Drosophila melanogaster: one gene and its partners. The protein of the gene in region 1 interacts with the protein of each later gene in a pairwise test. Each region holds a gene or a part of one and is shown on either strand. Other genes may lie near its edges. The genes, in order: CG2540, CG14478, EndoB and CG14191.

Region 1 (7,287 bases):
TACTCACATGTTAGCTACATCTTCATCTTATGCTCCTCCTGCAGCTTCTTCACTTGAACATACAAAAAAAAAATTAAATTTTTTTTCTTAATTTTCAAAGGATCATCGATAGTTTATTGATATTTCAATACACTGTTCTTTTTACACATCAATTCTCACGCACACACACACATTCACTGAATAGGCGCGCTTTTTTAATGGCTTCAAGACGTTCGCTTTAGTTTTTCACAGTTTTGGCTTCTACCATTTTTGTGAAATTTTCAATATATTTTCGGGGCTTTTTGTTGCAAGGGGCCAATAGGAAATATGCTAGTGCTTGGCTGGTCAGTTGTCGACTGAGCTGCTGCTGCTGCTGCTTTTACTGCTTCTACTGTCTCTACTGCTGCTGCTGCTGCTGCTGCAAAATTGAGAACGAGAGCGCCAACGAAAAGGAGCAGGCGATGCTGCTTTCTAGGATTCTCAACGTATGTAAGTATATGCGTGAGTATTACACGTACACACACACACACACTGGCACTCTGACTCTCACTCACACTGCTTGCAATTTATGCTGATTGGAAATGTAACGGAATCAATCGCTGCTCCGCTTTTTGTTTAGCCTACTTCAAGGCGTTCTTCGTTGAATTTCCCTCGTTTTAATGGCACAAAAAAATCTCGGCTAACTCCTGTTTATCCCTGCGTTTGTGTGCATGTGTGTGTATGGCCAGCTGCCATGTGAGCGACTATTGCGCAGGCTTACGCTATTTCGCCCCCAAAAACGTTTTTCGCGTACACGCTGGATATCCTGCAACAACAACTACAGCAACTGCTTGGGCAAAAACAATGCAAAATGTTTTGCGCGCGCGGTCACATGACACGAGTTACACACACATACACACATACAAGTGAAAAATTTGTTGAGGCAGCGCAGGAGCAGCACACACACACACATACCAACACAGCGATTTTTTTCTTTTAAATTGTAGCTTTTCCTCTGGATTTACTTGGCGTAAACATCTGGAACAGATTTTCTTTTTGTTTCGAGATGTTTTGCAATTTTTTTTTATAGATTTTGGCTTAATGGTTGTGGGTTCTTTTTTAGGATTTAGGAAAAAATCAACGCGTGCGAACGCGTCGAATGCTCTACAGCGAAAAACTGAAACTGGTAGCGTTTCCGCGCAGTTTCCACGGCACGTGTTATACATACACGGAGGAGTACACACACACACACAATTCAAACACTCACACACACACAGAAACACACTGGCACGTCCTGAATATCCTGGTTATATGGTTATGCAAAGCACCAACGAGTCCGTATGGTTGTCGCTGGCTTTGATTTCGGATTGTTAGCCCAATGCGTTGGCAACCCTGACCGAGGTTTTCCCTTGCTTTAACCAGGAATCGATACTTGTTAGGAGGCGAAGCTCCCCAAATTGCCTTTTCTCTTTTCTTTTTTTTTTTTGAGAAAGCAAAGTAATAAATCCCACATGCGAGTACATACTAAAAAGTGTAATCTGCTAAAATGTAAATACTGGCATACTCTCACAATTCATAGGTCCTCTCGCTCTAACACACAAACACAATGGTCGTATGGAAATTTGCATGGTAATGGTAATAAGTTATGCGCCGTTATGCTTTATCCTTCTTGTGTGCGAGAGCCCATTATCAATAACTCAGCAAAGTAGGCAATAAAAAGGAGCTCCGAACGACATGGTCAGAGGGGGGGGGAGGTTGGCAACTCTTGCGTCATGTTGGTAATGTAAATGTAGTCCAATAAGAAACTTGTTGGCAAGAGAACAAAAACAAGAACAAGAACAATAAAGATAGAACATTGACTTTCGCTGCTCTGATAAGAATCTGCATGGGAAAGGGAGCAAGAGAGAGGGGGAGAGCTCAAATGATTCATCTGGAGCAGCAGCAAAAACCTAACGGTGATGTGATGGTTGATATTGAAAAGCAGCAAATGCAAACATGTTGTCATTCTAATTTGCATTTTACACACACACATGCAGAGAGAAACACATTGACAAGCAGGGGACATAACATCATCGCAGCAGCAGCAGAAACAAAAAACGAAAACAAAAACAACAGCAACAATAACACATTCCGCAACACAACCACCCACTAAATACCAACCAACCCCCCCGCAAACCGTTAAGCCCCGCCCACCTGTTTCATGGCGATTCACTCCGCTGTTGAACGTTTGTGGCGCTTGCCCAATCCAATTGGATTGGCGAACCGAATCAGATCAGATCGACACGGGGGCGATAAACAAAAAACACAACGCAATGTTTAAACAAAAAGCACGACAAAACAAACGACAATTTCTCAAAATGTTGTCTCAACTGTTAGAGCTGTGAAAACTTCGACGACTGGGCGCCATCGATGAACGGCAAGCTTGGGCATTATCGATATCAATCTTATCGATATTTTCTAGCAGTGAGACCAAAGCAGCACAGCTATATTCTACACGTTCGCTATTTAGGGTATTCCCCGTAAAATTAAATTAAATCTAGAAACTTTTAATTAAAATCCTTTAAGTTACTTGCCTAATTAGATTCATATATAACGTGCCATTGTATTGAAAAATGGTTAATTTACACCGGTGGAAATAAAATAAATATTGGAATTGATTCGAAAAGCTGATAAACGCTATATTGAGTACTATCTGAATGCCGTGATTCCTGAATTATAAATTTAAAGATTAGATATTAATGTTACTATCAACATAGATTTATACGTTCTATCCGGCCTAGAGCGTGCTCTCTATATTTTATGATTTTTATAACTACTATATATTTAATAATTCAATGTTTAATGATACCACAAATCACAAGACAATTCACTTTAAATAAAATCACACAAATGTTTGTTTTAAATTTATATTTAAAATATGTTTTCATATATAATAATGAATAAATAATAATGTTCATGACAGGAAATCACAATCGTAATTGTGATTCGTCAGAAGCCTCTATAACACGTCGTTGCAATTGGTCTATTTGGAATGGTGCATCTAAAAAGAAATATCCCAAGCTTCTTGGTATTTACAATAAACAGTAGTCTTCTATTGCAAAATGTTGTGGTGTCACGACTTGTTTTTAGCTTGCAGTGCAGCGTAGATCAACCACTCGCGGCCGCCAGGTTTCTGACATCGCTCCAAAAGCTTCTCCAGCTGGTGTGCCTGCTCCGCTAGCTGTTCCTCCTCCAGAATACCGGAAATCTCATGCAACAGCGCATGGCGTATTAACTGGGGCTCATCCTCGACAATGTAACGCTTAACGCAAGCAACCAGTTCTTCGAGATGCTCGTCTACAGCTCCCGGAAAGAGCTGATCCATGGCGGCGGCCAGGTTGAATAGGTATTCGCGATTGGGGCCACTGGGACCGGCCGAGCTGAAGATTTGCCTCGCAATACAGGGAACTTGCCACACATCACCAGCATAGGAATCGTTCGCCTGCGTGGCCACGTACATGATCACTTGGATGGGTTCTGCACCGTCAGTCGGATACTCGTGGAACTCCAAGCTGCAGCGCTCATACCCGTTCTTCTCCCGGTAATCCAGATGGTCCAACACAGCACCCTTTTGACTAGCAGCTATGCGATAGGCGACGCCATAGACACGATCCTGGGCGGGATCGCCTGGCAGCAGGGTGACCACGCGACCAGGACGTTCGGGAATACCCCGGTGATCGATGCTGTGCTGGTAGAAGCGACGCTTGAATCCCCAAACGAAGCCGCGTCGTCGGTCTATGTACGGGAAGTCCGTCTTCCATACCAACGACCCATAGCCAAAGATCCAGACATCCGCATCCGTGGCCGCCGGCGGCTCCAATTGATTGCTATTTTCGGTATCGAAAGTGCGTAGCATGGAGAATCCTTGTGTAAAATCCTGATCCGCTGACTTGCATCCATGTTCCCTGGGCTCCTCGATAACGTTCGCGAAGAACTCGGTGTATATGTTGCCGGGCAGCTGATCCGCCCTAGAACCACTGCTTCGCAGCTCCGTCAGGAAGTCCAACATCACCGGTGCTTCGTTAGCCAAAAAATTGTGAAAATTTTCAATTTCCTTTGGCAGCTTATCGTCTAAAGTTATCGACATCAGCTGTTCGATTCCCACAGGGCTGCCACGTAGCCTTGAGTTTTATATATATATTTTTAAATATTTATTACAAATATTAGATTTTATAGTTAAATATGTATTTTTATGTAATTGAACAATCATTTTATTTATGTAATAAACTAAAATGTTCATATGGTATGTTGTTAATATGTATATTTATATTTTTCGTTTTCCGTTACTTTTTTATGTTGCAACAATATAGCCTGGCCACCCTGCGCTCAGTTAAGGGAACAGCTGTTTGCCGCATTATCCATCCCGCTCACACTCGCGTCGCTGAACGAAGGAATAAACAAACCGATTTTGAATCGGAATTACCAGATAAATAACACCCCGGAAACCACACAACCCCCATCAAAATGTCCGGCAAGGACGATCGATCCAAGGAGTACGTGCAACGTAACCACTCACCTCGCAGTTAGCACCTAATAATAACAACCCATCCTTTACAGAAAGCGCAGGAACATGAAGCAGTACAATCATCACCATAAAAAGGATCAAGGGCGCTCCACCACATCGTCGGGATCGCCACCACCCACCTCCCGTCGCAGCATGGTTGATGTGGCGGACTCGAGCGATGAGCCAAGGTTGGCCAGGCGTGGCAATTGGCAGTCCAGTGGAGCAGGCCGCTCATCGTTGGCACCGCAACGGAACAGGGACATGCTGGACACCCTGCCCAGCGACACCGACGATGTGGAGCAATTGGGCCTGGATGGTGCACCCATCGATGAGAATGCCCGTGCCCAGTTACGAGCTGGCGATTTCCAGCAGCTGGCCCAGTTTCCCAGCCTCGGTGGCGGCCACTTCACCTTTGGGTCAGAGCGCGAATGGGCCAACGTGGCCGAGGGCCAGACCAAGCTACACACCAAGGCTGCCAGTGCTTACTTCACCCTGAACCTCACCCGCCTAAATGTGGGTCTGCAAACGATTCCGTTATACAAGCGTATGGATTATCCGGCGTCTTTGTTCACCCGCGCTCAGATTGCCGCCCAAGAGAAGGCCGCCGAACGGGCTGAGGCAGTTTACCAGCAGTGCATTCTGAAGGACGCCAATGGGGGCGCCAAGTCGCGAGCTCCCTCTGCTAAGTCCAATAAGGACGTTGCCCCTGCAGCGGCGGAAAAACCAATTGCTGCCTCAGCAGCTGAACCTGATGAACTTGACGAGCTATTGGCCATGACCGATACGCAACTGGATATAGGCTCTGGAACCATTACGATGCCAATGCCTATGGTGCAGCCGGCCACACCCTCATCGGCAGCAAGCAAAAACGGTGTGGAGGAATGGCTGGATTCCGTTTTGGATGAATAGTTACATAGTTCAGGAGGACTATTACCAGAGCTTTTTACGCTTACACGAAATATTCAAATCACTAAGTGCTTGCATTTTTAGAAGTAGCATCATTAAAATTGCAAAATCTAGAGTTTTCCTCGTAACTTTATAGTTAAAGCTAGAGCCTTTTTATTGTGTATAATAAAATCGTTGATTGCATATATATACGATGCGATTGTTTCTTGAAATAAGTTTCAAAGGTTAGGTTAAGTTATTGAAGATTTCAATTCTCTTCTCATCAAAGTATCTGAATTTATAACAGATTTCTTTGTTTCCGTTCGCTATTACTTACATTGTGGTCCACTTTTGCCTTGGTAACACTTAACCAAATGGCCATGCAAGAGCTGCATAAGCTCACATATGGACTCCAAAAGCACCAGGCGCTCATGCAGATGCCCCAAATCGTTGTTCTCCACCATCAGCGGACGCAGCTCATCAACGATCGCGATTAGCCAGCGAACTAATATCGAACAATCGTCCCTGGCCAGTTTCATATAATCCTCCGGCACATCGGTCTCCTGGCACAGTTGCTGGCCCTGGGCATTGAATGGTCCGATCAGCAGGATGCTGGATATCAAACGGACCACCAGGTGCAGGGAATGCAAATAGGATATTACATAAATATGCGGCTTCACCACGGCAACGACGAGCAGCAGTGTGTTAGCCGGACGCAATCGGTGCAAGTCCAGGCCCAAGTCCGACATATGATCCAACATGGCCCAGAGCAGACAGTTAGCCACAACGCTGGCCATTGTGCACAGCGGACTGGCCACGCGGCAGCCGAGGATCAGGTTGAGCATTGTGCTCGAACTCTGGATATCCAAGAGACCCAGGACATGGACGCATACCTGGTGGATCTGTTGGGCAAAGAAAGGGAAGGATCAAAAAATATATATTTCAAACATATATATGCTTACTCACATGGCTTTCCTCGGAGCATGCCATATAATTGAAGCACTTTTGCAGGAAAAGAGTTCTTTTCACCTGGGTGGCCGACGTGTCCTCATGATGGAGTAGATAAACCATCAAACCGCATACATACACCGCAGCCAGTTTATCTGCTCCGAATTGGATCCCCTCCTGGTTGAGCAGTTCATCAAAACCAGATATAATCTAACGGAACATGTGAATAAATTAGATAATGTGATTATGATATGAATATGGATCACCTCCAGAATATTGCCGGTGGCATAAATAAAGTAGCATTGTTCCCGAATCGCCGATCGACTCATAGTCTGACGCAGCTCTTCCAAACTGAATCCCTGGGGTCGCACCATGTGGCTCATGTTGTATTCTGCCATTTTATCTGAGGAAAAAGCTGGAAAAAGGGAGTTATGCATTACTTTTGAACAGGGAAAAGGCGCCTTCAAGGATTTGCTGCTGCTTCACCTTCTCCTCCTCCTTCTACAAATTAGTGACTGAAAGATATGATGTGTGCAAATAGCCAACGCTATTTTAATGAGCTCCACAACATTTTGACATGTTTTTCAAACACACTTGGCTGCCATCTTGGCCAAGCCGAGTACAGTGAAATCAGCAAGTGGGTACTTTTAATTGAAAAGTCTAGGAATTAACTATGAAGCTTTTGATTTGAATTCATGAACCTTGAACCTATGTACATCTTCCATGATTTAAAATTAATTTTTTGTAATAATATATTAAAATATTATAATTATATAGTTATGTTCATTTTTAGACAAAATACACTTTTGTGTTGAACTTCTAGTTGAATCGCATAAAATTGAAGGACTTAGAGGAGTCGCTGCTATCGGACGCTTACTGTAGTTATGATTTTTCCTGCCTGTGTGTGTGCCCGCCTTTGTTTGTGTGTATTTGTGCTTGTCCTTGCACTGCTT
Region 2 (8,646 bases), on another chromosome or scaffold:
GAGCTGCTCCCTTCTCTCTCCCTCTCTCTGGCTTATCAAAGGGCTGACCGATCGACTCGGCTTGGCTCTCCGACTTCTTCTGATTGCAAAACTCTCGGCGGTCGTAAAAAGATGTCGGTTTACTTTCCCACCGTCGTGCACGTACAGTATGAATGTGTGTGTGTATGTTGCTGGGCAGGAGTGTTTGTTTGTTTGTGTGTGTGTGTGTGTGTGTGTGTGTGTGTGTGTGCGATGCGAGTGGAGCACTTCCAGTATGTTATCCTCTTTTGTTGAAGTGGTTTTTCTTGTCGCTGGTGGTGCTCTGGTGCAGTTGCTCCGCTGGCGTGCAAATGTTTCCTTGTTTCTTTATTCTTTCGCTGCTTTGGCTCTTAGGTATTCCGCAGTTGTCGACGTCGATTTACCTGGAATAAAATAAAAAGCAGGTATGTGAAAAAGAGTCTTGTTTCACACTTTGCATTGTATGCATGTAAGTATGTAGATATGTGACTGTGTTTGTGCCAGTTGTATATATCTTTCAAGCGATATATACAATGCACTCATGTATTCAATATTTTCTTCGCCTGGTGAAATCAACAACCAGCACACACACAGTATATTTTGGAACAGATGTTCGTTGAGCTCGGATTTCAGGTCCCTTTTTCTTTTACCCCTAACCGCCTTTAGTACAAACTAAAAAAAAAAAAAGAAACCAAAATGGGAGCACACACACATGTGCAGTTTTGTTTTCGGCATTTTTTGGAAATCTTCTGCTTCTGCTTCAGCTTCAGAATTTGCAATTTTCGGTTTTTGCCAGCAGGTCTTTTCCGGTACCTATATAGAACATTCTTTTGTGTGCTCCTTTTCGAGCGAAAACAAGTGGTTGAAGGGTCAAAAGTGCAGCGGCTGAAAAGGAGAAGCGAGATAAAGATGCCGAAAACAGAGAGCAGGTGTTGCAAATCCTGCAGAGAGAATTGTTTAGCGATTGGCAATCCAAAAATAGGTTTCCCACTGGTATTGGTGTTAGTTATTTTGCTGTGTACCCTCGCAGAGTATACTAGATTTTACATCATTAATGAAGGAAATTCGGAATCCTTTCTTCTCTCTTCATACTCACGAGTATCAAGAGTCTTGATGTAAATGTTACAATTTTTTTTTTTAGGTATTTTAACATATTTAGAAAAGACAACAGTGTCAGGGTATTAAGAATTCGGTTCGACGCTATTTATGTTTTGGTTTTGTTCGAACCAGCAGAGCGATAAGGCTGCGACTTCACATCCCATACTATATTATTAGCTTTATGGTATAACTTGGGGTACTTGTATGTATTTGCCGTGTTATCATCTGACTCTGGCTATGACGATTCCTATGCCGACACGCGCACGCAGCACATGCCCCATTCATAATCCCCGCACACTCCCGGCACTGTCCAGAAATCCCACCATGTAACACACCTATATCTAATCGCGCATATAAATTTCACTCCCAGGGAATAGATTTTTCCCTACTCCGAGCAAACAGCGACTTTAATACGCATGTTTTCCACTGTTTCCCTTCGCCTGTAGTCTGTAATGAAATTAAAACTAAATTCTGTTCGCCACGGGGATGAAAATCGAGTTTTCGATTCGCCTAAGGGAAGAAAGCTGCTGCCTGCATACATATACATATATCTATATCTGTTGTGTCTGTGTGTGTGTGTGTGTGTCTGTATGTGTGCGGGGTGGCTGTGTCAACCGAAGGACTACTGTGTACTTTTGTGTAGCTGCTGCAGCAAACTCGGTCGCTTTCCGATCGAAACTGCTGCAGCTGTGTGCCTCGAAACTGCTGACTGCTGACTAGCTGGGGCAAAAGTTTCACCGGGGCCTGGTCAGCGGGTCGAAAGTTCAACGGGAGGAGACCTTCGACGCGCTGCTGTCAGAACGAACAGCTTTTGCCAAGATGCTGGGGGATGGCCTACCAATAAGCAGCCAATATGGCAGGAATCCGCCCAAGAAATGGTTGCTTAACTTAGCCTTTAAAATCGATCCTACAGTACTGCATTGTCACACCCAAAACGCGAATTCTTCAGTAAGAAACAGCTGATGAGAAAATGGGCAGCTGATTTCAAGAACTTGCCTGCAGTACATTTATCTGCATAGGAAGAAGTGAAAACGTGCCAAAGTGTTCAGTTTATAGACGAGAATTACAATCGAGACCGTCAATAAATAAGCTTGACGATTTTTTCACCTATCAACATTATTTTAATCTTTACATAGTATATATTACAACCGTATGTGTGCGTCAAACGTAGCAGCCATTTGAAACTTAAGACCAAACCAATCAGATTGTTTGATCAACTGTTTTGCCAAGTTTTCTAATTATCATTATGTGGATACGACTTTCTACGATTTGCGTAGAACAGCTGCAGGCTTTGATCGTTTGCACAGCATTTTCCACTCATTTTCCAAGCTGATTGCGCACTCGGCATTCTTTTGCGCAATTAGAGGGAAGTTGTGAGTTTAAAAGCTGTAGAGATAGATAATAAGCGCCGGGCTGATTGATAGTTCTGTGCTGCTGCTGCTCTGCGAATTCCCAACGCACATGATAAGATACGGCACATTGTTCATACAACAACGAATGGTTCGAGAACCTTTGTTTAGTGTTGTGTGAACTTTGGCCTTGTGTTCGGCCAAAAAATCCGAAGAAAAAAAAAAAATCCGAAGAAAAAAAAAATGGGAAACAAAACGAAAAAAAAACTGGTTGTACTTGGTGGGGAAACTATAGATTCAAGCTCGAAACGATGCTGGTCGCCAGTGTTTCAAAGCCCTTGGAATGCTGGCAGGCCTAAAAGTATCTGTTTTTTTTTTTTTTGTACAATCTAATCATACGCCCTTGATAAGTCTCTGAACTCGGTACGAGATCTTTTAAGTCGGCTGACTAATGAAATTTTAAGGAATTGAGTCATGTTCAGGCAACTGTTTATATGCACTCAGAGAAAATCACATCAAATTAATGATTATATCAATTGGGAGTGGATAACACGAAACGTGGTAAAATACAAAATCGACAGTTGAAAATCTTCGAAACAATAAAAATTCTGTTCCTAACTTGGATTGAACCTGTTGGAAATTACAGGGCCTCCAAAGCGGGAAAACATTGAAAAGCCTAGCCCTTTATATAGTTATCTACTTTGTTCTACAGGGTTTATATCGGAATTTTATGCACAATGACAGTATTAATATGAAAAAACAAGCACAGCAAAGTTCAACAACTTCTACCAATATAAGATTTTCAATAGCTTTGCTTTGACATATTTTTTATAAAGAGCGTAGTATGCAATAAGAATGTATAGTATTCAACCGTATATAGCACTTAATCATAAAACTAATAGTAATAAGCAATATTTTTCTTCAGTGCACTGGTTCATGTTTGGGACGCAGTTTCGCTGTTAAGGTGATTCACTCGGTATATTTTCCGTAATTCGTAATGATTTTCACTTGGCACTTTTGAGTCCTGTTCGACGAGGTCGTTTTCGTGGGTGATCACTGTGTTTATGAACGCAAGTGCGGAGCCATGCGTTGCGGGGGGCTACGACCGTCTCCCTTACACCCGTTTGATGACTGCAGTCGCCCGTTTCCCGTTACGTTGCATTCAAGGAGTCACGCACGCACACACACACACACACACACATTCATAAACGCACGCGAAAAGAGAGCGAACGAGAGATGCATGTGGGAGAGGATGCAGATGATGCAGGGGAATAGACGGGCATATGGACATGTGTAAAATATCCAAAAATATAAAACGAACCCAGCGACCGACGACCGAAACGTCCGACGTAATAAAATCCCTTACGCGCTGCAGGCAGCGACGCTGACAGCGCAGCCACATGCTTCTTTCTATATTGAGCCAGCCAGCCCTTATGTGTTCAACTCTCCGTTATGTACAACAACAACCAGTCCCATATATAAACACACGTACGTACATACAGACCCTGCTCTGTGTCCGCACGTCTGTTTGTTTGTACGGTACGTGCGTGCGTGTCTGTGTGCGCGTCGTGTTTTTGTGATGCCATCGTCGATATTGAAAGTACATGTGTACATACATAAGTACGTATGTATGTACGGCAGGCTATGTACCAACGTACGTTGAACGAGAATCGCGTTGGAAATGAAATGAAATTGCGAACAACGAAACGGTGCGATGACGATCCGATACGAAGTGCTTCATTTTATTTAGTTAATTCTTAGCACATATGTATAGACAGATATATATGCACCGACGACTATATACACTCGACTTTGCCCGTGTGTGTGTGTGTATCGTTTTCATTTTCACGGAACAAATATGGCTGCAGCACATTTTTTTTACGTTTTTTATTCACTTTTTTCACGTTCATATAGCTCGTTTTTTCACCCAAAGTAATGCTGACTGGCCGATTGAGGGTTCGTGGATTTGGATTCCGTTTGCGTTGCGTTTGCTGGCTGCCTTTTGGGTTTCGAAGTGCGTGATTACGCCATTTTCTTTACTCGTTCGCTTTTCGCTGCACGCCCATCTTTCGAATTACCTTTTTTCAATACGATTTGATCGATCGGTGGATCTCTTAACTCGCTGCACACGCGTACACTGGGTCGAAACGGTGGCTGATTGGGCTCTCCAATCAATTTATTGACTATTCCGTTGAGGGGTTTTCTTTAAATGCAAGTACGCAAAACTCACGGGTTTTCACCGACACACGAATCCGTCTTCCTCGACTTTGCATCAGTGTGACCGTGGCGTGCAACGACGATGGCCAAACATCGATAGTCTGGGACTTTGCTACTATCGAAGTTATTTTATACATATTCGATACCTTCTGTCCCTGCATATGGTTTTTAAAGGATATAATTACCACACCGTTGTAATTATTGTAATCTTTCCAATTATGTACAAGCCGTGGTAGTCTTTAATTGCCAACATAACATAAATGTTCACCTAATAGCAACGGAAACAATTTCAAAGGTAACAAGAGAATACATATCTCTCGCTTCGAAAGTATTCGATAAATACGTCGGTGAAGCGGATGCTTAAACCAACTACCCAAACATCAAACAACTTCAATAATTATAATAATATTATAATAATTAATTGTTCGTGTTAGAATTAGCGTTAAAATAAATTTATCTTTTGGAGTCATTTGTTTCAATTAGAGAACGCATATTTCAGTTTTTGAAAATAAAGAATGAATGCCCCTATCAATAGTTATAGCGGACTAACAGCTGAAAACACCTGAAGTTTACAGAGCCCAAAATGTTTACGTGATGTCATTTTATGCATAAATATATTTATTGTATGGAGTACAATTTCATTACATTATAATTTAACTTTCCATTTATACGCTGATGATTAGAATACAGATATAAATGTGCAGATAATTCAGCAATAGTCGCGATGCACCATGCCATTTAGTCGGTTGGGTTTTGGATGACAATCAGGATGAAGTCCTTGTCGGGTGCCACCATGATCTCGTGCTTCTTGGATCGCACCCGCAGGAATGTCATGTCGTTGGAAGGATCCAAGTCCCTCACCACACTTCGTGCCTTGTCCGCCAGCTGACTCATTAGGCCAGCGTACTGAACGGTGGTAGTGTTGTCCAGCGTGGATTTGACCGGAATACCTATTTGGGAGGCGTTGAGAATTAGTTAGATATCTTAGCACACACTGGGGTGCAGTTGAACCACCCACCTTCATTGTTGACCACAATTGTACCCACAACACCTTTGTGGCTCTGGATTCTCTTGAGTGTTTCCTCAACCTCCTGCGACTGTAAGCCATGAAGGTAACGTTATTTTCTTAATGTTTTTGTGTATGCACAACTCTTACTTACCATTTTTTCTTATAATTTTGTTGGAAACACGGCAGACACTACCGCTACCTGCAGTTCAATGAAATAGTAAACTTTGTTTGTTCAATATTAGAGATGCACTGTCAGTGATGGCACATTGTTCATTGTTAATTTAACAGATTTCCACATAAGTTAACAGAAAATATCGATATGAAGTTTTCAATGAGAAAAAAATTTGCAACGGTAATTATCAAAATATTTGTGATTGAATAATTTAATAAGTTTATTATTTACTAACAATACATTAATAACAACTACACAGAATTGTTTAATCTGGCATATTGACCCATATAGCAACACGCACCTTGGAAACCAAGAAAACAAAAAAAATTAGGTTAAAAATTCACGAAACCGTTACTACGAAGTTCAAGGTGTTTCAAAGCAGACGAGAAATATGTTTCCGGATCTTCCACAAAAGGTAAAATATTTCCATATTGAATGTAATTATATTTATTTATAGGTTACATCATTAAATAGCCACCTCGAACTCTACGATATGTGGAAAAAGCATTCGACCTGGTCAAATCGAAAAAACATGTTCGAGATGTAGTGATCCTCAACGAGTCGGGACATCCGGTGATGAGTACGATGGACCGAGAGGATGCTGTCCAATTTTCGGGACCTTTTCAGGCTATTCGAGGAAGACTGGAACGCGGTATGAGTAAAATAGATCCCACGGACGAACTACTAATGCTGAGAATACGCACAAGAACCAACGAGGTGCTCCTGGTGCCAGACTCCAAGATAACACTACTCGTAGTACAGAACGCGCATGATTACTTCGAAAAATGATTAAATATTTTAGATTTCTCAAAGACAATTTCTTATTCGTTAGCGTATGTTACTTTATTATTAAAACATGTACCAATCACTCGTATGTCAGTAATTGGTATTTACACGTGCTTTTACATTTTTAAGGCATTTAAATATTTTAAGATGACGTATTTAACGAATATAGCAAGGAAAGAATCCAATCCGTGTGCCTCATAACATTCGTAAAAACGAGTATGTTTTTCGATGAAAAACTGAAAATGCCCACCAAAATGTAGCGTATCTGGCCATTGGCATTCATCCCTCCAACCACTATGTAGCTACGTTTCTGGCGGGGATTACTTGTGTCGGATGGATCTACCATGCACACTTGATTTTCGTTGATTTGAAATCCGAGATGTTTCGCGCATTGGCTCCCTTCCATTAGCCTGACGTCGAATTGTTCAGCTAAATCTGTATCAATTATTTTCAATTCTCGAGCCTTTTCGGCGTTTTGCTGGTATATTTGCGTTGTCAAAATGCAGATGGGTTTCATTGCTGTAAAAGAATATAACTGTAAATCGAGGCAATTGCTATGATAGTAGGTATGTTCTACCTGTGCTGCTTATTGATCGAACAAGTTTGAGTACTGCTATGTCATTTCGGTAATCATTCGTAGTAAAATTTGGGTGCTTTGAAACCGATTCAATTTGGTTGATTGCGCTTATTCCTTCGAGCACTACGAACACGTATCTGAATAATTAATTTAAAATGGTATCAAAATAAACTAGTAACTAATGTGAAAAATAGCAGTTAATGCACAAGGGATAATCCTTCGAACAACTTACAAATAGGCGGCAACTGTGGGCAGGTCTGTGGCAGCAGCGATGATCAATTCTAAGAAAAGAAACTCAATCTTGTTAAATTTATACTCATTTAATTGTGGAATTCTCGAGTGAAAGAGTATACTTACGATCTGTTATTAATACGCCAACGGCATAAGAACCAGGCCAATAAATTCTTAGCTGCGCGATCGGTGCCGCGATATCCTGACTGCAGCTATTGTACAACATCGAAGGAAGTGGTGGTGAAGCCGCAGGAGTCCAGTGCCGATTAGCGTCAGGAGCAATGGGATTGCCCATGGCAATGTCTCCCCCGGACACGCCGATTGGTAGGTAGTCATTTCTAGCTATTGTCGATGAGATCCAATCCACATAGCTGGTCACGTCGGTATAGACTCCTACTCCACGGCATTCTGGATCCCCAAAGCTTACGATTCCTAACTGCACCTCATAACTTTTATTGGAAGGAAACAATATATTCGTGGACAAGGGACCCCCAGAATCGCCTCTACAGGTGTCTCCATTTTTGGTTCCAGCGCAAATCTGTCTTGAATTGAGATTAAAGTTCAATTTGCGTTTGCACTCATTTCTTTTCAAGTGTAGAAGATAGATGGTTTGCAACATTATGCTCAATTTTCCGTTCCTATTTCCCCAGCCAAGGGCTCTGAACGTTTTCAATTTTTCAACACTCCCTTTGAGAGCCGGATCCAAAAAGATGCAAATTGGTTGAACTCGAACTGCGAAGAAATGCATTGAAATGGGGCTACGGTGGTTAAATTGCATACATACCTGTGTAGACGATACTCTCCGACAGTTGAAGCAGTCCTATATCATTTCGGTATTCCGATGCAATGAAGTCATGGTGCACAAAGACATTAATGACTGTGTGGACAGCAGCGGGCTCATTTATGTTGCGTGCCCCCAACCTCACGTATCTGTATTTCATAAATCCACATATTTATATATTCGTTTTTAAATTAACCGCGTAAGCACGAATTATTGTAACTTCGAACTTCACTTACAGATCATATCCTCTTACCAAGCAATGAGCAGCACTTAACACAAAACCTAGAAAAAAAATATATATTCATTAATATATAGAGAAGGCAAGAACAGTAATCGCGACTACTGTATACCCATTACACAGCTAGGAAACAGAGACAGAAATGCAGATATGCAACATTTAGTCAATGACATTTAAATACCTTAATTCCT
Region 3 (9,599 bases), on another chromosome or scaffold:
AAAAATTCTCAAAAGCAGTAACAGTTATATAAAACAAGTAATACGACTAAAAACACTCCCCCAGAAACTTTTCGAAATTTAAAAAACTCTTTAAGTGATTTGGAAACCAACTGAATTTAATATGCCAAACGATGAATACTCCGGTACTCGGTGCTCTGAGGAAATATACCAGATTTGGACTGCGCAAGTCGCGGTGATGACGTCGTCGTGGGTGATCGGGAATGTGGGCACACTGCAGACTCTCGGTCCAAAGGGCGATTTACCAAACAATTTCGAAACTATGTGGAGGCACACGATCCAAAGTACCAGGTACCTGGCAGGAAACGCCTCGCTTTGCAGGCAAATAGCGACGCACAGTCCCAAACTGGGGGCGGAAAGCAATCGCAGCAAGGAAAAGGCAAGTGAGAATGAGTCCTTTATGGCCAACATCTTCCGTGGATCACTGGTGTCAAGCCAAGTGTTCCCGTATCCGGATGTCCTGACCGCGGAGCAGAAGGAGCTGACCAACAGCCTGATAGATCCGTTCGAGCGTTTCTTCTCCGATGTCAATGACGCTGCCCGCAACGATGCCAACTCTAAAATAGATGACACCACTTCGACGGCTCTGTGGGAGCTCGGGGCCTTCGGAATCCAAGTGCCATCTGAATTCGGTGGCCTCGGTCTGAACAATACCCAGTACGGCAGGCTGTGCGCCATTGTGGGTGTCAACGATCTGGGACTGGGCATCACGATTGGCGCCCATCAGAGTATTGGCTTCAAGGGAATACTGCTGTACGGCACCCCCGAGCAGAAGGAGAAGTACCTGCCCAAGGTGGCCGCCGAGCAGGTGTACGCTGCCTTTGCCCTTACGGAACCCAGCTCCGGATCTGATGCGGGTTCCATTCGATGCCGTGCCGTGAAGAGTGCCGATGGAAAGCACTACGTCCTTAATGGCTCAAAAATCTGGATTTCCAATGGCGGAATTGCCGAAATTATGACCGTTTTCGCACAGACCGAGCAGGTGGACCCGAAGACTGGCGAGAAGAAGGACAAGGTCACTGCCTTCATTGTGGAACGATCCTTCGGAGGTGTAACCAATGGACCACCGGAGAAGAAAATGGGCATCAAGGCATCGAACACGGCCGAAGTGTATTTCGAAGATGTAAAGATTCCAATTGAAAATGTGCTCGGCAAGGAAGGTGATGGATTCAAGGTTGCCATGAACATATTGAACAACGGTCGGTTTGGAATGGGCGCCACGCTATCGGGAACAATGAAGAAATGCATCGAACAGGCCACCGAGCATGCCAACAATCGAGTTCAGTTTGGTCAAAAACTAAAGAACTATGGATCCATCCAAGAGAAATTGGCTCAGATGAACATTCTGCAGTACGCCACGGAGTCGATGGCGTTTACTATTTCACAAAACATGGATGCCGGCAGCAAGGACTATCACTTGGAAGCCGCCATCTCGAAGATCTATGCTTCGGAGAGCGCGTGGTATGTTTGCGACGAGGCTATACAAATTCTGGGCGGCATGGGATACATGGTGGATAATGGATTGGAACGAGTCCTGCGTGACCTGCGCATTTTCCGCATATTCGAGGGCACCAATGACATTCTCCGGCTGTTCATTGCCCTGACTGGCATTCAATATGCGGGATCCCACCTTAAGGAACTGCAGCGCGCATTCAAGAATCCCTCGGCCAATTTGGGACTGATTTTCAAAGAGGCCTCCAGGCGGGCGGCCTCCACTGTCGGCTTGGGCGGCACCGATCTGAGTGGCCACGTAGTGGGTGAACTCTTGCCTTATGCCAAAAAAACGGCCCATTGTATTGATCTTTTTGGACAATCGGTGGAAGAACTATTGCTGCGATACAACAAAAACATAGTTAACGAACAAATTTTGCTAACACGACTGGCAAATGCAGCCATTGATATTTATGCAATGGTTGTGACGCAATCGCGATCATCCCGTGCAGTCAATCTGAATCTGCCAACTGCACAACACGAGCTCAACATGACCAAGGCACTCACTATTCAGGCATCTGATCGAGTGATTAAGAATCTACAGGCTGCCACATCCAGTCATCATAGGTCTCTCAATGAGAAGATTTCCACCATCGCCAAGACCACTTTGGAAAATGGCGGTGTGACTACGACTGGAATCTTGGATCAAAACTAGACCAATATACTTTTATACGAATTTTAAGCCCTTGATTGTTAACCTAGTATGAATGCCAATAAAGTCTTGTAAATAATAATCGCTGAAGTCTAAAGTTCACCTCGCTCTCACATACGAAATCTCTCTAAAGTGATTATGCACTATCATTGAACAAATGAGTAACAAATACTTGATCATCTATAAATGAACTCAGATAATAGAACTCTTGAAATCAAATCACCTCTATTCCTTTTACGTAGAAAAGCTCACAAATATAATTTAAAGCACTTACCATCTCGATCTGATTTTCAAAGCTGGACGGGCAATCTAATGAAATACAAAATAAATCGAACTTAATTTGGTTTTGTTGTTTTAATTTTGATCATATATTTGTAATTATGTAGTATAATAGTTGGTGTTTAAAAATTCGCTTTTCATATTACAACATTGTTTGTTTGCTGAAAACCTAAAAATCATCGTTGTTTACTTTTTAATTATTGTATTGTACGTTTTCAACAATATTTATCTGTTATTTTTTAGCTATCAAGCGCCTTGGTGTTTCAAAGTTTTGCCTTAAATGTAACAAGCAATATTCTTTTAATTGACTTTCAAAAATTGCACGAAAAATTTGGTAACATAATAATTGCAGCAAATATATTAGATAATAATTGGAAACGCCTTCGCTGAATATATAGATAATAGGATTAACAATTTCATACTTACGTTTATAATTATAGGATATATAGTAAAGCACAGAGAATTTCGCTTGTTAACTAAGATATTGACAAACATAACACATATATAATACTTTTTCGAGTGTAGAGAAGCTTAATAAAACAGCACTTTCTCTTTAGATATGCGATTAGATTTAACAATCATAATGTTTGGAATTGCATAAATTTACATGTATAACTTGACGGTTTTTCAGGCAGCCAGAATGCATATTTGATTACAGCGTGATCTGTGCAACGGAGTAGCGTAGCTCTTTGGGCATGGATCTGGGTTTGATTATTACCGAAGGCTAATCTACAATGCTTTTACTAACCAACACGCTCATGTATGTATATTATGCCTTGTATATATTTATGTATGTATATTCTAATAAATTATTGTACTCTCTTGCTAGTGCCAAATGCCGCTTTGGCCGCATCCTTTAATTGTCCAATTGCCGTTCCCTTCTCTCGATCGTGTCTGCTTTCTTAACATATGAGTATTGCCGTACTTGGAGTATTTTCTTGTTCATTAATTTTGCTTGAGATTATTGAATGATTGATTATTGCTGAACAAATTGCTGGAGGGCTTAGAGGGTGACATCGTGCTCTTCGTCGAGCATTTCAACAAATGCGCGTGGCACCAGACCCTTCAATAGACCCTGTTTTCCGTACATGTAATCCTCGTTTACTGGTGAGCACTCCGTCACGAAGATCACCTGAAAAATGAGTTATATATAAGCATTGCTTAGGATATTATTTGTTCTTTACTTTACCTCATTGGCGCTCAAATTAAGCTCGGTGTGATCCTTGGCGTCGTAGGAGCAAAGGACGCGTGCCCTCTGCATCTGATCCGTGCTGACGTGCATGGGCTGATTAGGCTTGTGGCCGGTGGCAGCCATATTGGCAGAGTGATTGTTGCCAGGACCACGGGCTGCGGCTCCGGACGATATGTTGGACTTGCTGGCACTGGCCTCGTTCACGTCGAGCGGAATGTATGGCGTGGGGCCTCCCAAGCTGATGGAAGATGCAGAGTTTAATGAGTTTTTGATTCGATTTGATAGCGAGCTCTAAATGGAGAGATGAGCTGCTGAAACCTGACTTTACAAAGTGCAACAACTACCGATAACAGCAACCTATCTAGTACGTATGATTTGAAATTAAATGCTAATGTTAACTGGGCATGGAATCCGATTCGATATGAAGATCACAATAACAAGACCCCTAAACTGTGGAGACGGCTGTCGTATCGAATTCTATGTGAAAGTCTTCGAGCAGATTCGTAAGCGACTTGTCCAAATCGGGATCTGGATCGCTATCTAGGGCTATCCCCCCTAATGAATCGGAATCACAAGAATGCATCGACACCGAGCTGGGAGGCCCACAATCAACGTCTTCGCTATTGATACGCAGGCGTGGCTTGGGATGCTGCATTCTGTAAGACCACAAGCAGATATCATAACGCACAGTGAGACCACCAGAAGGGACCACGGGTTTCATCAAGGATGGGACATGGTGTTTTGGTGTGCAAGAAAAGATTCGTTTGGTGCCTACGTGGAAGTCACAGTCATTCTCTATCGATCGCCTACTACTTACTTGGCCAGTTCACGCTGCAGCTGCTCCATGACATCGCCGCACTGCTTGTAGTAGCGCACTTGCGTCTGGATGAAGGCGTGCAAGTGGCGCAAATGAGATGCCTGCGATGTGCTGATCCCGTCCAGCAGCAGCTTGGTAATCTCCGCCTGCCGGTCGAACTCGGCCTGAGCCACCCGCAAGTCCCGTTCCGCCTAGAAAAAATCGCAATTAGAAATTGGCTCATTGATTAGCCATAAATCTAGAGCACGAGCTCGGTCAAGGTTTTGATACCTGTTCCAAGACGGCCTCTGGCGAGATGCCATCTTTCTAAAAATTCCGGGCAGCAGAGGGCAGAAAAAGACCGTGAGTGAAAAAGCCATTACGAAACCCAATCAATCATACCCCCTTGCAATAAGGAAACCCCATCAAATCCCACCCACTTACCGATTGCTGACCCAGCATGCTGCGCGCTTTCTTCACCCTGTTCTTGCAGGCGTCCAGATCCAGGCGCTTGGTCTCCAGGATGCCTCGCTCCTTGCCAATTGTCTTCATTTCGCCGTCTAGGAACTTGCGCAACGGCTGTGTAAAGCAAATGCCCGAGGTGGCTATAAAGTCGTGCTCGCACTGGCCCAGTTTCTGTTCCGCTTGGCCGACCTTGATCAGAGCCTGACCATAGGGTAAATCCTGCCCGAAATCGCCCCCAGCCTCGATCATGTCCAGAGCCAGGTGCTCTAGGTTGCTCAACCTTTTTGGCTTCGACTTTTCAATCTTCTCGAAGATGAAGTCTTCGACCCGGTTCTGAGGATTGGGTATCAGCACCGACTCTGTGTCGCGCACTATCTTCTCCGTCCATGTCTTGGTCACATCAGCCCGCTCGGCGAGATTCTGGAAGTGCAAGTCGTACTCGGTGCGCTCCGTGGTGCCCAGTTTCTCCTCCGTGAGCTGAAAAGGTCATTGAAAACAATGGAGAGCCGTTGAAAAGGGCAAAGAAACAACGAAAGTGCTTGAGATTGGTTTGGGGTACATCTGTCATTTGCCCAACCACCGAAAGTTCACCACCACCCGCTTTTTTTTCAGCCACCCAAATTCATTGATTTGTTCACCTGCACCACTCGTGATATTGTGCTGCCCGCCTCCTTCACCAGGTTCTTCACATTGAAATTCGGCAGATTTATATTCATTTTTGCCGAGAGGTTCGCTAATTAACACTGCCGTTGATAAAGTTTAAATTTAAATTCCGCTACACAGCCCAATTTGTTTGTATTTATTTCCTCTACTTCGTAGTGTGACCCATTGTTTCTCCCAGGAATATACCAAATATACCGAAGAATTCCAACTGGAACAGAGTTCTAATTGGAAATACTACTATTGAGTAAAATGTAAAATTGTATTAATTTTTAATTTATCATAGCTTTTTCTTCTTTATTCTTCATGTAAATGGTGAAACGAAATTTACTTCTATTAAACAAATGCCACGACATCAAAGTAGATAACAATTAAGCTGTCTGTTAGCAAATACATACCTACATACTATGTAAGCTAACAGTTTCGGTAAATCAAGTGTGGTGAGTATCTATATAGTAACGAAAGCTACTATGGCAAGCTTTAAAAAATGTGAACGTTTGTACAATATAACATAGTCAATTAATCATGATATGGATGAAAATCATTTTTCAACATTTAAACTAATTTTTACTTACCCTGCTTGCAGACCGTGCACCTTGTAATTAAACCCCCAAAATAAAACACGATTTGGAAAACATTTAAATTTAACTTTTCACATTTAATACACACTCATTAGACATATATTATCGGAGCGGAAAAATTAAAACATGCATTCAATTGATAACTTTTCACCACTCTGCTGCTTCTTACATTTATGGCTGACTTTCGCTTTTCCTTATACATCATATGACAATCTGTGCAAAATCGAGTGTGCTTTTATCACTTTCCTATATAGTTTTCGGCTCGAATTCATATTCATTCATGTTGAGCGAGAATAATACACAGAGTTCTGGACAAAAATCAATTACAGCTATATGTATATATTTTAACTATCTGTTATAGATCGGATATCTTACACACATGTTAGGATGCACGTATTATTTGGGGGTTTCCTTGAATGTTCCAAATCCGTTAAATTCCATTGTGCTGCAATTGTTGGTGATTATAATACTTAATGGACATTTATAATACATTTAATGGACATCTAGATTGTTATGGAATAGTTGTGTGATTTGCCCTACACTACTAGTGTTCACATTAATAGTTAAAAATCTACAAATTCTCGATCCGACCTCAATATTTGATACAGCAGGTCGCATTGCACACGTTAACAAAATGGTTTTGCTTAGGCTCTTGATTTAGTGGACCATGTGTAAAATCACATATTGCATTAATGTAAAACTACGCTGACATGAACCTAAAAGTAGCCCTTGTGTAAATCTAGTGTTTCTTTCGTATTTCTGCTATCTTTGATTAATTTTGAAATGGTCCCGACTAACTTGAGAAACCTAGGGCGTGCGGATTGTGGGTGCACGATGGGCTTCTTTGTTTAAAAAAATGGTTTTGTTTAACAATTACGGCATAATAATCCCTAGGTCTATTTAAGCAAAATTGCACAATGTGGTTAATATAGTTTCTGGTTTGCAATCGATCAATTATATTATGAACTTTTAATTCAATCAACATTCATGTGAATATTTATGCCATTTTAAAACGAGATTCAATGCCATTACAAATGTATAACTACACGTATATAATTAACAATAAGTTTCATTCGGCGGACAAGCGCCATATCTTCAAAAAATCAGTACAATTGGTATTCATTCGTCCACGAACAAGGGTAAAATATTATTTTCTCATTTTAAAAATTATTGCTTTTTATTTGGATTCCTTTGTATTACGATTTCTTTCAATCAAAAATATAACTAATTTATTCCAGTCGCCGTATTACAACGAGCATTCAAAATTATCCCAACTCATGCTTAGAGGAAAACGAAAGAGCATAAAAAACCAATTACAAATAATAGTTTTATATTTAGACAAACTATATACAATGATTAATGGAGGAAGTGACTAGCGTAAATTAAGACTAAAATTATACACAATATGTACAGTTGGGAATAATACCCCCGGTAGTAGTCGAGTCTGTTTCTTCTTTAACTTAGGATCTTGCATACTCTATAGGAAACTTGTGGGTTACACTTTGGATAATCTCTGTGCTTAGAGTACATGCAGATTCTCGCAGCTCTTCGACTTGGAGTCCCGAGTCCACACGCGGCCCAAAAGTCCCTTGACTTTCAGGCTGGTGGAGGTCCTTGATCCACGGTATTTGCGGGGACTGCAAAAGAGTAGGGTGCATCAGCATTACTGCCTGATTCTGATGGCCTGTCGGCGTGGCGATGACTCACCTGCTTTGGGCACTGCCCGGGGGCGTGGCCACCGCCTCCCCCAGCGGACCCAGAGGGGTATTGGCATTCAGGCATCCGGCATTCAGTGGCGAGCAGGCGCGTCTCTTTGACTTTCGAATCGAACGCTTTCGGAACAGATCCCTGTGGCAAGAAACATAATAAACATAAGTGAATAAAATAAAGACTACTTCTGAGTAGCTCTCGACGAACCTGGACTTTTCGGGATTCTCCAGCTTGAGTCGTATCTGTGATAACAGACCCACCAGCAGCTCGTCCACATTGTGATTAATGCCCACCGACGTCTCGATGAATTTACAATCGTAGGCGGTGGCCATGGCCTTGCCCTCTGTAATGAAAATGGCACGATGGAGAGGTTAAGTGAAAATGTGTAAAAATTATGGCCAAAAGCATCACATTCCAGCTTAGTTGCCCGCCCATCATCCCAGTTAATCAAATCGAATGGTCTCGCTTAGTTAACTCGGAGTTGGTCGTAAAACCTCATCCTCGGCTGGGATTTGTATCTAAACATGATGCGGGGAATCCCCATCCCATCCGTCACGTCTTGTCCACAGATGTGTACACAACTCGTAAAATCTGAAGCATCAAAGTTCGGTACACCATGCGTATGGTGACCCTCCTGGTGCAAATTTTATGACAGCCTCACATTTTTATTAACAATGTGACGAAAGTTACATATATTTATTTGATAGGCAGACCAGCCTTTTCCTGGGCGCTTAAAGACTTAAGCTCTTAACCTTCCGATTTTCGATTACAGATGAAATAGGATCCTAATTAAAGGTAAACAAAAGTTTTGCGACATCGGGCAATATTTACCCCAATTGAATAATTAGTGCGTCATTAGTATGCCAAAAAGTTATGAGGTGGAAATGGAAAATACATTAAATTTTCAAAAGGTTTTTTAGAGTCTGTGGAGTGGCAGAATCACCTGTGACGCACTTAGGTTTTATTCATATTTTTCCAATCAGCTTGACAATGTATAGATTTATGAATATATCTTTTATCCAGACATTTCTGGGCCAAGCGCTCATTTTATTATTGCCAGAGGCATACAAAATTCTATAAATACTTTATGAAATTAGGGCGTCGCATTAGGTGGACAGGAACTCTCCGCCCAAATTCAAGATTGTGCGTTGGATGTGGGCGTTGGGTAGTGGGTGGCGAATGTAGGTCCTGTTGTCGCCCTGTTTACAACAATAGGCTTATGGGCCTTAAGCCTTGAGCGGAACACATGCCACACGGGACGAAATGTAATCAATTTTGCGCTGAAACAATTTCCCTCCACTGCCATTTTACTGGCAGAACTGGGGAACCCTTCCAGTCACCACCCACCCTTACTTTCATAATAACAAACGTAATTTAACGGAAAATATTGAATTACTTAGATGAAAGCGCCCGAGTTACCTTGGTCTTAAAGGGAATCTGATATAAAAGTCAAGTGAAAGCACTTGAGTAGACAAAAAGGACCCCCGAAACTGTCGACCTTCAAGGGGGGGGGGGGGTGCGGAATCACCTCCACTTAAGATTCCGGCTGTTTGGGTAGGCGAACCGCCGGATGACTTCCGCTTGGCAAACTCTTCAGCTGACCCTGCACGACGGTTCTGTTTATACACTCGAACTATATATCGTTATGTTTATATATACTCGTATATCTATTCGTAACAGACCCAATCGAGCGCACTTTCCAGTGTTAATGGGGGAGGGGAAGATAACCGAAATCCTCCCACATATTTATTAGCA
Region 4 (7,072 bases), 6.5 Mb from region 1:
GCCACGGTGGCTGGTCGTCCGGCGGCGGCTGGTTCTCCGGTGGCTCCGGATGGAACTAAGCAGTTCCTCGGAGATGCTCGGACATTCCAACAGATGCCAGGCAACCCAGTGCGCTGATGTCAACTCTTTTGTTCCTGTTGTCGGAGTTGTGCGGCGATATTGGCCTTTTTCGATGCTCGAAGTTAGTTTAGGACAGCGCACGCGTTTTGTGTGTGCGCTTAGAAACCATTAATTTTTTTTGCTAATTTTTAAAGAAATACACAGAAAATGAAAAAGATAACCAGTACTGCCTGATTCTTTGTCCATCGATTTGGGAAGTCCCAAGAGTTGATTACTCATGATCGGGGGTTTTTGAGAGCATCTTTGTTGGCCAGTTTCGCTTTCCACTTAACCCATTTGGCCACATTTGTGTTTTGTTTGCAATTACAGAAATTATTGTACTTATAACCAGTTTGCCATATAATTATTGAAGTAGCAACCGCAACAATAGAAATGGCATATTATATCACAAAACGGTATGAAATTACCTTGCATTTCTCGCCGAGCACAATCCCCTCATCAGTGGTATCTATCAGATTATATGACATATTTTTCATATTTGCGATTACGATATCATATTTTTATGATTTTGGAAACTTTCCATAGGTGATTGGAAAATATGTAATTTCAGTACCGCCGGCTCACAGTGGGTTAAGCTCAAGGTCAAGTCGTGGCAAGCTTCAGCATCGCAAAGGCAATGAATCCATTATCGTCTCGTAATTATGTCTATTCTGGACAAGCTGTGAGATACAAGTAATTCCCCATCGAAATAAATAATTGCGGATGCGTCTTGGGTTTGTTTTGAATTTCCATCATTAAATTTGTTTTTACGAGTATTTGATGGTGCCGTAACTAGTTTTCTATGGGCCGAAAATGGACTTAAGTCTTTCGGTTCTTCGTATTTTGTCTATATTCACACGTTCGTGAGCTGCGATTTTTTGTGGGCATATTTTATGTCTTAATTAATGGATACTCAGGTGGAGATGGTGACTAATTAAGATTGTATACATTTAATATCATGCATAATTATGATTCGACTTGCATTCGATTTCCCAGCTAGATAGATATGTATATTCCAAATGTCAAATATAATTGAGTTTAATGGCCATCGTGTGGGTTACATAATGATTATTTCTAAGCTCCCCGAAACTGCGTTACATGGAGTATCCATAAATACGCGTAAAAATAAGCACTTATTGCGCATAAAACATATCCGACCCCGTTAAATAATCACTAATTGTTATTGGCAATAACTCAGGCGTGGCCATAAATCATAATAAAATACGGATAGTGAAATGTTCATCAAAAATAAATGTCTTCCGACTGTGCTAACTGAAATGCATTATCGGTAATTGTTTTCTGCAAAGCCACATTAAATGTTTTCAACAAAAAGCCTTTGCTATCCAACGTGATTTCTATGCTATGCTCCAGCTTTAATAAAAGATTAATATGCTAAATCACCACTTTTAGCATTTTAGCAATAAGAATATCTTTAAGTGCTGCGAGTGCTGGCCTCTTAGAAAAATGTTCCTTAGATTGGTTTTCCTTGATAATTCGAGCATCGTGCCGCCGTTGGCCATTATAGTCATTCCAGCCGAATATGAAATCACCGACAATCAGCGGGAAATGTATGGCTCATCTATCAGATCGAGAAGTGAAGGTTGGCTTTAACTTCAACTTCAGCACCAGCTTTTGCTGCAACCGAATCGAGTTGGTGGAGCGGCAATTAATAGCATTCTGCTTGACCCATCGCCACTGCGGGCCAAAAGTTAATGGAGCTGCGATCGCGTTGGCCGGATTAATCAAGATCGAAATTGTTTTGGGTACAGAGATGGCAAAGTTACTCAACATAAATGTGGCTTCAAAAACACAGATTGATTTGTCCACTTAGGGTGCAAGAACTGGAACTGGGGAACAACACAAAAAAAAATTGATTAAAAGTCGTACGAAACTAATAATTATATGTGCTTAAAGTTGGGACGAATCTGACTATAATAATACACACAGGTACACCAGCCATCTGGCAATTGAATTCCAGGTACTAATAACAATAAAAACAAAAAAAGTACACTTTTTGCATCGAATTCGTAATAATATTGCGACATAGCATAATTAAGCGTGATCATTTCTATTAAAGTAAAGTACCTGGTTATTAAAATGCCCAGGTACACCGCCCATTTGATATCCACCACTAGATGATGGTGCGATCGCTACCTGTTTATTGGATCATGTTGCTGGCAGCTATTGTTTATTATTTTTGCAACTTTGTGTCGATTTCGATGAATTGCATAACGAGCTGAAAATGCGCCATCGAAAGGTTTTTGGCCCGGCAAGTGCAGTGCCTTCGTCTTCGCCAAGGGTTTCCTCCAACCGACCTGGCGATGCAAGTTAGCCCACTTGACAGCTCCGGGCTGCCTGGATTGCAACATACAGTACAGTCCGCGACATAAATTAGCCCGCAGCGTGGGGCTTGTAACTTGCTGCTGCTTGGAGCAGCAGAGCTTAGAGCTCAGTGCCGCGGGTGGAGATCGGATGCTGTGTGCATGGAATGGCGTCGTGGAGGTTATGGGGATGGGGTGGGGTCAGGGCCGTTGCCCTCATGCAGACAACTGGACAACGCTGGTGATGGTAATGGTAATGGTCATGGTAATGATGATGCCGCAACTCAAAACGGACCATCGCGTGGACCGGCAATTAGTGTGTCAAACACGAGCAGACTCCACACAGTGACATTATTTCTCCGTATTGTGGGGAAATCACTCAAAGGCATATATGGGAAATGCCAATTTAATAATTATTATACTTTATTTCCCTTTAGTGTACGATGTGAAAAACTAAAAACAATAGGAAACAAATATTATACAAAGTTATTGTATATAAGCTCAGATACGGGGGGAAATTGAAGTCTTAAATTACCATAAAATCAATAAAACATGATCGCGAGATTAAAAGTAGTACTATCAACTACTATATAAAGTTGTAAATATACAATTTCAAAAGGCATACCAGTCGGTAATATTCGTCAAAAATGTATGTTAAAGTATGTATTTACCTCCTTGACTTTTCGATTAAAGTGATTACTTTAGTGATTTTTATTGGAGTTGTTTCATTGCGCTGAATACATCTTAAGTATATCTTGCTCCGCCAAGAGATGGATTAATTAGTGAGTAACCATGCCTTGCTGTCCGGTTTGGACGCGACTCGACCCACTGTGCGCCGCAGCTGTTGGGGCAGGGCAGGGTTAAGTGAGCCAAGCTGGTTACCGAGCATCCGAGTCGCTGGCCATAAAAGCGGCGGCCAAAACGCTGCAGACCACAGTCGAAGATCGCCCTTCCAGTCCGACACAGTCGCAGTTCTTCCGAAGCAATCAATACTCTCAAACACGCCAACATGAAGGTGCGCCAATCGCGGATTAACACTTTCACAGAAAGTGAAACCCATTCTTCGAATATTTTTTTATGTGTACCCTTTTGTGAGTTCAACTAACGCGTTTCCTGCCAATCTCTTGCAGGTTTTCGTCTGCTTGCTGGCGGTGTGCAGTATGGCCCATGCGGGTTTCCTGGGCGGCGGCGGCGCAGGAGGTAGTGCCCTCAGCTCCGGCTGGTCATCCGGCGGAGGAGGAGGAGGATATAGCGGCGGATACAGTGGTGGCCATGGAGGAGGTGGTGGCTACGGCGGTGGTGGCTACGGCGGTGGTGGCTACGGCGGCGGTGGCCACGGAGGCGGCAGCACGATTAAGATCATCAAGGTGATCACCGATTCCGGAGCTGGTGGTGGTGGCTACGGAGGTGGCTACGGGGGTGGCCATGGAGGTGGCTATGGAGGTGGCTACGGAGGCGGCTCCTCCGGTGGTTACAGTGGCGGCCACGGAGGCGGTTGGTCATCCGGCGGTGGATACGGCGGTGGTGGCTACGGAAGCGGTGGCAACGTCAAGATCATCAAGGTCATCTCCGACGCCGGATCGAGCGGCGGGTATGGCGGCGGCTACGGCGGTGGTCACGGTGGTGGATACTCCTCCGGCGGTGCCTCCAGCTACTCCGCCGGCGGTTGGGCTCCTCAGGGCGGTTGGGCCCAGAGCAGTTGGTAAATGCTCTCCGTTGGTCAACGGATACTAACTTGTTACTGTTTCTCACTGACCTTAATTGTAAATACTTCCCAACATTAACCAATAAAACAGTGCGGTATAGAAGAGCCATTTCCACTATCAAAACAGAAACTAATGTTTCTTTTTTAGTAATAATCCGATATAGAGATTCTCGATATAAATCCACCTTGTAATTCCAAGAAAATTCGTTTTCAAGATTGTAAGAGCTGCTGATGCATCGCTTACAATCAGTCAGCTAGCAAATGAACCTATCAAAAGGTTACACTAAAAATTTGCAAAATGTACAATAGGTGGATCTCCCATATATGATGCCCTGTCAGGAGTTACGAGGACATCCCCAAGGACCTCAGTCCCGCGCCAGGAGCCGTCTAATGTCCTCCTGCTCGGCGGCCTCCGCGTAGCTCTGCCCCTCGGGCGTGCGCTCCGTGCGGCTGGCTCCCATCCGGAGCAGGAACTCGACGCAGCGTGTATGCCCCTCCCATATGGCCGCCAGGAGCGGTGTGATGCCGTACTTGTCCTTCCTGTCCACCTCCGCGCCGATCCGCACAAAGAACTCCAGCAGCTTCAGCTGGCCAAAGTCGGCGGCGTAGTGCAAGGGGAACCGGACGCCCATCTGATCGTTCACATTAAGCGATCCGGCTAGGAAAATTCGCTCCACCTCGTCGTACACGCCGTTCTTGATTGTCCAGATGATGTCCTCGATTTTGTGTCCATCGCCCATCGTGATCCGTTTGACTCAGTTTTTATCCGTATTTTAAGCAATGCGATTCATAAAATCTAATGATTTCAATAGTAGTACGTACGTATGCTCAATTCTAAAGTTGACGTGCTGGGTTACTTTGATGTTTGTGTTCCTAAACAAAAGTGCCCTTTTACATCGTTAAAGCTGCGTTCGGCAAGCAATTAGAGGCATTAAAAGTTTGCCGTTTGTAGGTGCTTTTAAAACTATAACAACATACATCCCATTGAATCTGTCAAAGTTTTCTATGACCTCGTCCCGTCGTCATAAAATTGTCCCCCATTTTATTTATCGATGGTAACCCACAGAATTTGACAGTTGTCAGGTGCTGCCGTTGTTGGCAATGTTTTATATTTGTGTTTTTTCATTCGGGCTTTGGTTTTTTGTGTTGTGTTAACCCTTCGTTAACCCCATACGCATGTCGGGCCATCTGTCCCCGTCCTCCAGTCAGTGTTCATGGTACATATAGCCCGCCACCGCCCACCAAATGGTAGGGCTTCCTACGCGCCAGACGCAATTTGTATGCAAATTTCCATGAGAATCTCAACACATGCAATAACAGCAACAACACAAAGGACACACGAGCAGCAGCAGCAGCGGCAGTGGCAACAAAAAATTGACTGAGCGTGAATGCAGAGCGGGGGGTTTTGGCAACCAATTGGTTACAAATACATAATAAGAAACGGACAGATATAAAATGGCAGAGAATGGGGTATGAGTATCGGGATGGGCAAAGATTACCATTCCGAAAGTGAAACGTTAAAAAGTGTCCAACAAGTTGAAATCTTAAGGAGAGCGCACTTTAACAGCAACCGAGTTTAGGTAGTTGAAGTTTGAGATACCAGCGGTTCCTAGAAATAGGATATAGCAAATTCAACGGAGTGGACCCAGGACGTAAATGCTTTGAAAAGCGCATAGAAGAGCGTATATTAAGCGGAGATTAAAGACGAAATAGTTTACGTTTAAGATACCATATACGGTTATTACTAAAATTAGTGGATTGTATCTATAAGGCGAAAAAATTGAGAAGCGCATAGAAGGACGAGTTTAAATATAAGGTAAGCTGAATTCAAAGAATGTAGTTGAAGTTTAATATATCATATGTTATAACAAATGGAACTTAGCAAATTAAAGGGCTTGTATCTATAACGTGAACACAATGAGAAGCGCATAGAAGGGCGCATTTTAAGCGGATGTTAGCCGAAACAACTACTTAAATTGGGGCGTGGCAGCCACACACACTCTAAGGCTTAGTATAATAATACTCAAGTAGCGGGTGCCGGAAATAAAAATAAAAATAAAATTAACTTCAATTGTTCTGCTGCTCGCACTTAGATAGTGCGGTATGCGAAAACAGAACTCGTAGGAATGGAATGGGGTTTTCTGGATGGGGAAATCGTGGTGACGGTTAGAGGTTGGGGGTAAGGCGGGGCGCTTACCGAAGGCACTTTCTATGCAAATTTTTATGTGTTAAATGCATTTTGTTGGATTTAACATTCTCGCTGATTTTTTGGTTTACATTTTTGCATATAAATGAGGGCAAACTTTGCTTCGCCCGGGCTAGAGAAAGCCCAGAAAAAGGGGCGCGGCTCACACACACAGTCACACAAATTAGAGGATTAAGTAGCTTGAGTCCTGCTGCTGTTCCTCCTTTCTCTTCTCCCCCCTCTATCCTATCCACTTTCTCCTTTCTCCTTGGCCCTTTTGTCTCAGAAGAAGCAGAAGCCGAAGCAACAGCAGCGGCGAGACAATTACGCTAATTCGCCTGAAATTGTTTTGCATTTTCAACACCCACCCACCAAGCAGCACCCACTTTCGTGGCAATGACAATGACTGCACCACCCGTCGCATATGTGTGAATGTGTGTGTGTGTGTGTGTGTTGGTGAAAAGCAGAATCTTTTCATCGCTTGTTTAAACAGTTAAATTTGATTGCGCTGTAAATAAGAAAGAGAAGTAGAGAAAGTCGGCATGAAGCGAAGGAAACTATGGCGGAAAACCCTTATTATATCCGCAACGAAGGAAGTTTACTTAATTGTGCAACTATTTCCCTTTTCTCACCCACCAGCCATAAGTCTAATTAAAAGATACCAATAAACATCAAAGAATCGTGAAAAAATTATGAGGCGCCCAACAATGGATTGACAAAAAGGCTGTAACGTAATACAAAATTCAGATTTAAAGTCCATTT

The links.
Region 2: the proteins of CG2540 (region 1) and CG14478 interact in a two-hybrid assay, tested with the Drosophila melanogaster proteins (one large-scale study listed by BioGRID).
Region 3: the proteins of CG2540 (region 1) and EndoB interact in a two-hybrid assay, tested with the Drosophila melanogaster proteins (one large-scale study listed by BioGRID).
Region 4: the proteins of CG2540 (region 1) and CG14191 interact in a two-hybrid assay, tested with the Drosophila melanogaster proteins (one large-scale study listed by BioGRID).

The regions. Positions count from the first base shown.
Region 1 is NC_004354.4:12,626,678-12,633,964, reverse strand, and holds CG2540 (uncharacterized protein), read right to left. Parts: upstream 4,088-7,287; 5' UTR 4,007-4,087; coding exon 3,071-4,006; 3' UTR 2,854-3,070; downstream 1-2,853. Other genes in the region: Aven (apoptosis and caspase activation inhibitor), read left to right, coding at 4,462-4,490, 4,555-5,410; CG15728 (uncharacterized protein), read right to left, coding at 5,716-6,288, 6,353-6,544, 6,601-6,732.
Region 2 is NT_033778.4:17,453,749-17,462,394, reverse strand, and holds the start of CG14478 (uncharacterized protein), read right to left. Parts: upstream 4,733-8,646; 5' UTR 4,523-4,732; intron 3,580-4,522; exon of another isoform or gene 3,316-3,579; intron 1,798-3,315; exon of another isoform or gene 1,729-1,797; intron 402-1,728; 5' UTR 1-401. Other genes in the region: robl (roadblock), read right to left, coding at 5,400-5,611, 5,680-5,758, 5,822-5,824; robls54B (roadblock similar 54B), read left to right, coding at 6,234-6,257, 6,317-6,631; CG10764 (uncharacterized protein), read right to left, coding at 6,771-7,147, 7,206-7,342, 7,438-7,486, 7,563-8,168, 8,221-8,366, 8,454-8,499.
Region 3 is NT_033778.4:19,304,944-19,314,542, forward strand, and holds EndoB (endophilin B), read right to left. Parts: upstream 5,723-9,599; 5' UTR 5,610-5,722; coding exon 5,532-5,609; intron 5,371-5,531; coding exon 4,873-5,370; intron 4,756-4,872; coding exon 4,720-4,755; intron 4,641-4,719; coding exon 4,450-4,640; intron 4,289-4,449; coding exon of another isoform or gene 4,084-4,288; intron 3,871-4,083; coding exon 3,630-3,870; intron 3,573-3,629; coding exon 3,444-3,572; 3' UTR 2,504-3,443; downstream 1-2,503. Other genes in the region: Acadvl (Acyl-CoA dehydrogenase very long chain), read left to right, coding at 281-2,164; Rgk1 (Rad, Gem/Kir family member 1), read right to left, coding at 7,654-7,771, 7,842-7,982, 8,052-8,187.
Region 4 is NC_004354.4:19,078,315-19,085,386, forward strand, and holds CG14191 (uncharacterized protein), read left to right. Parts: upstream 1-3,350; 5' UTR 3,351-3,429; coding exon 3,430-3,435; intron 3,436-3,550; coding exon 3,551-4,126; 3' UTR 4,127-4,252; downstream 4,253-7,072. Other genes in the region: CG7406 (uncharacterized protein), read left to right, coding at 1-59; CG7423 (uncharacterized protein), read right to left, coding at 4,491-4,865.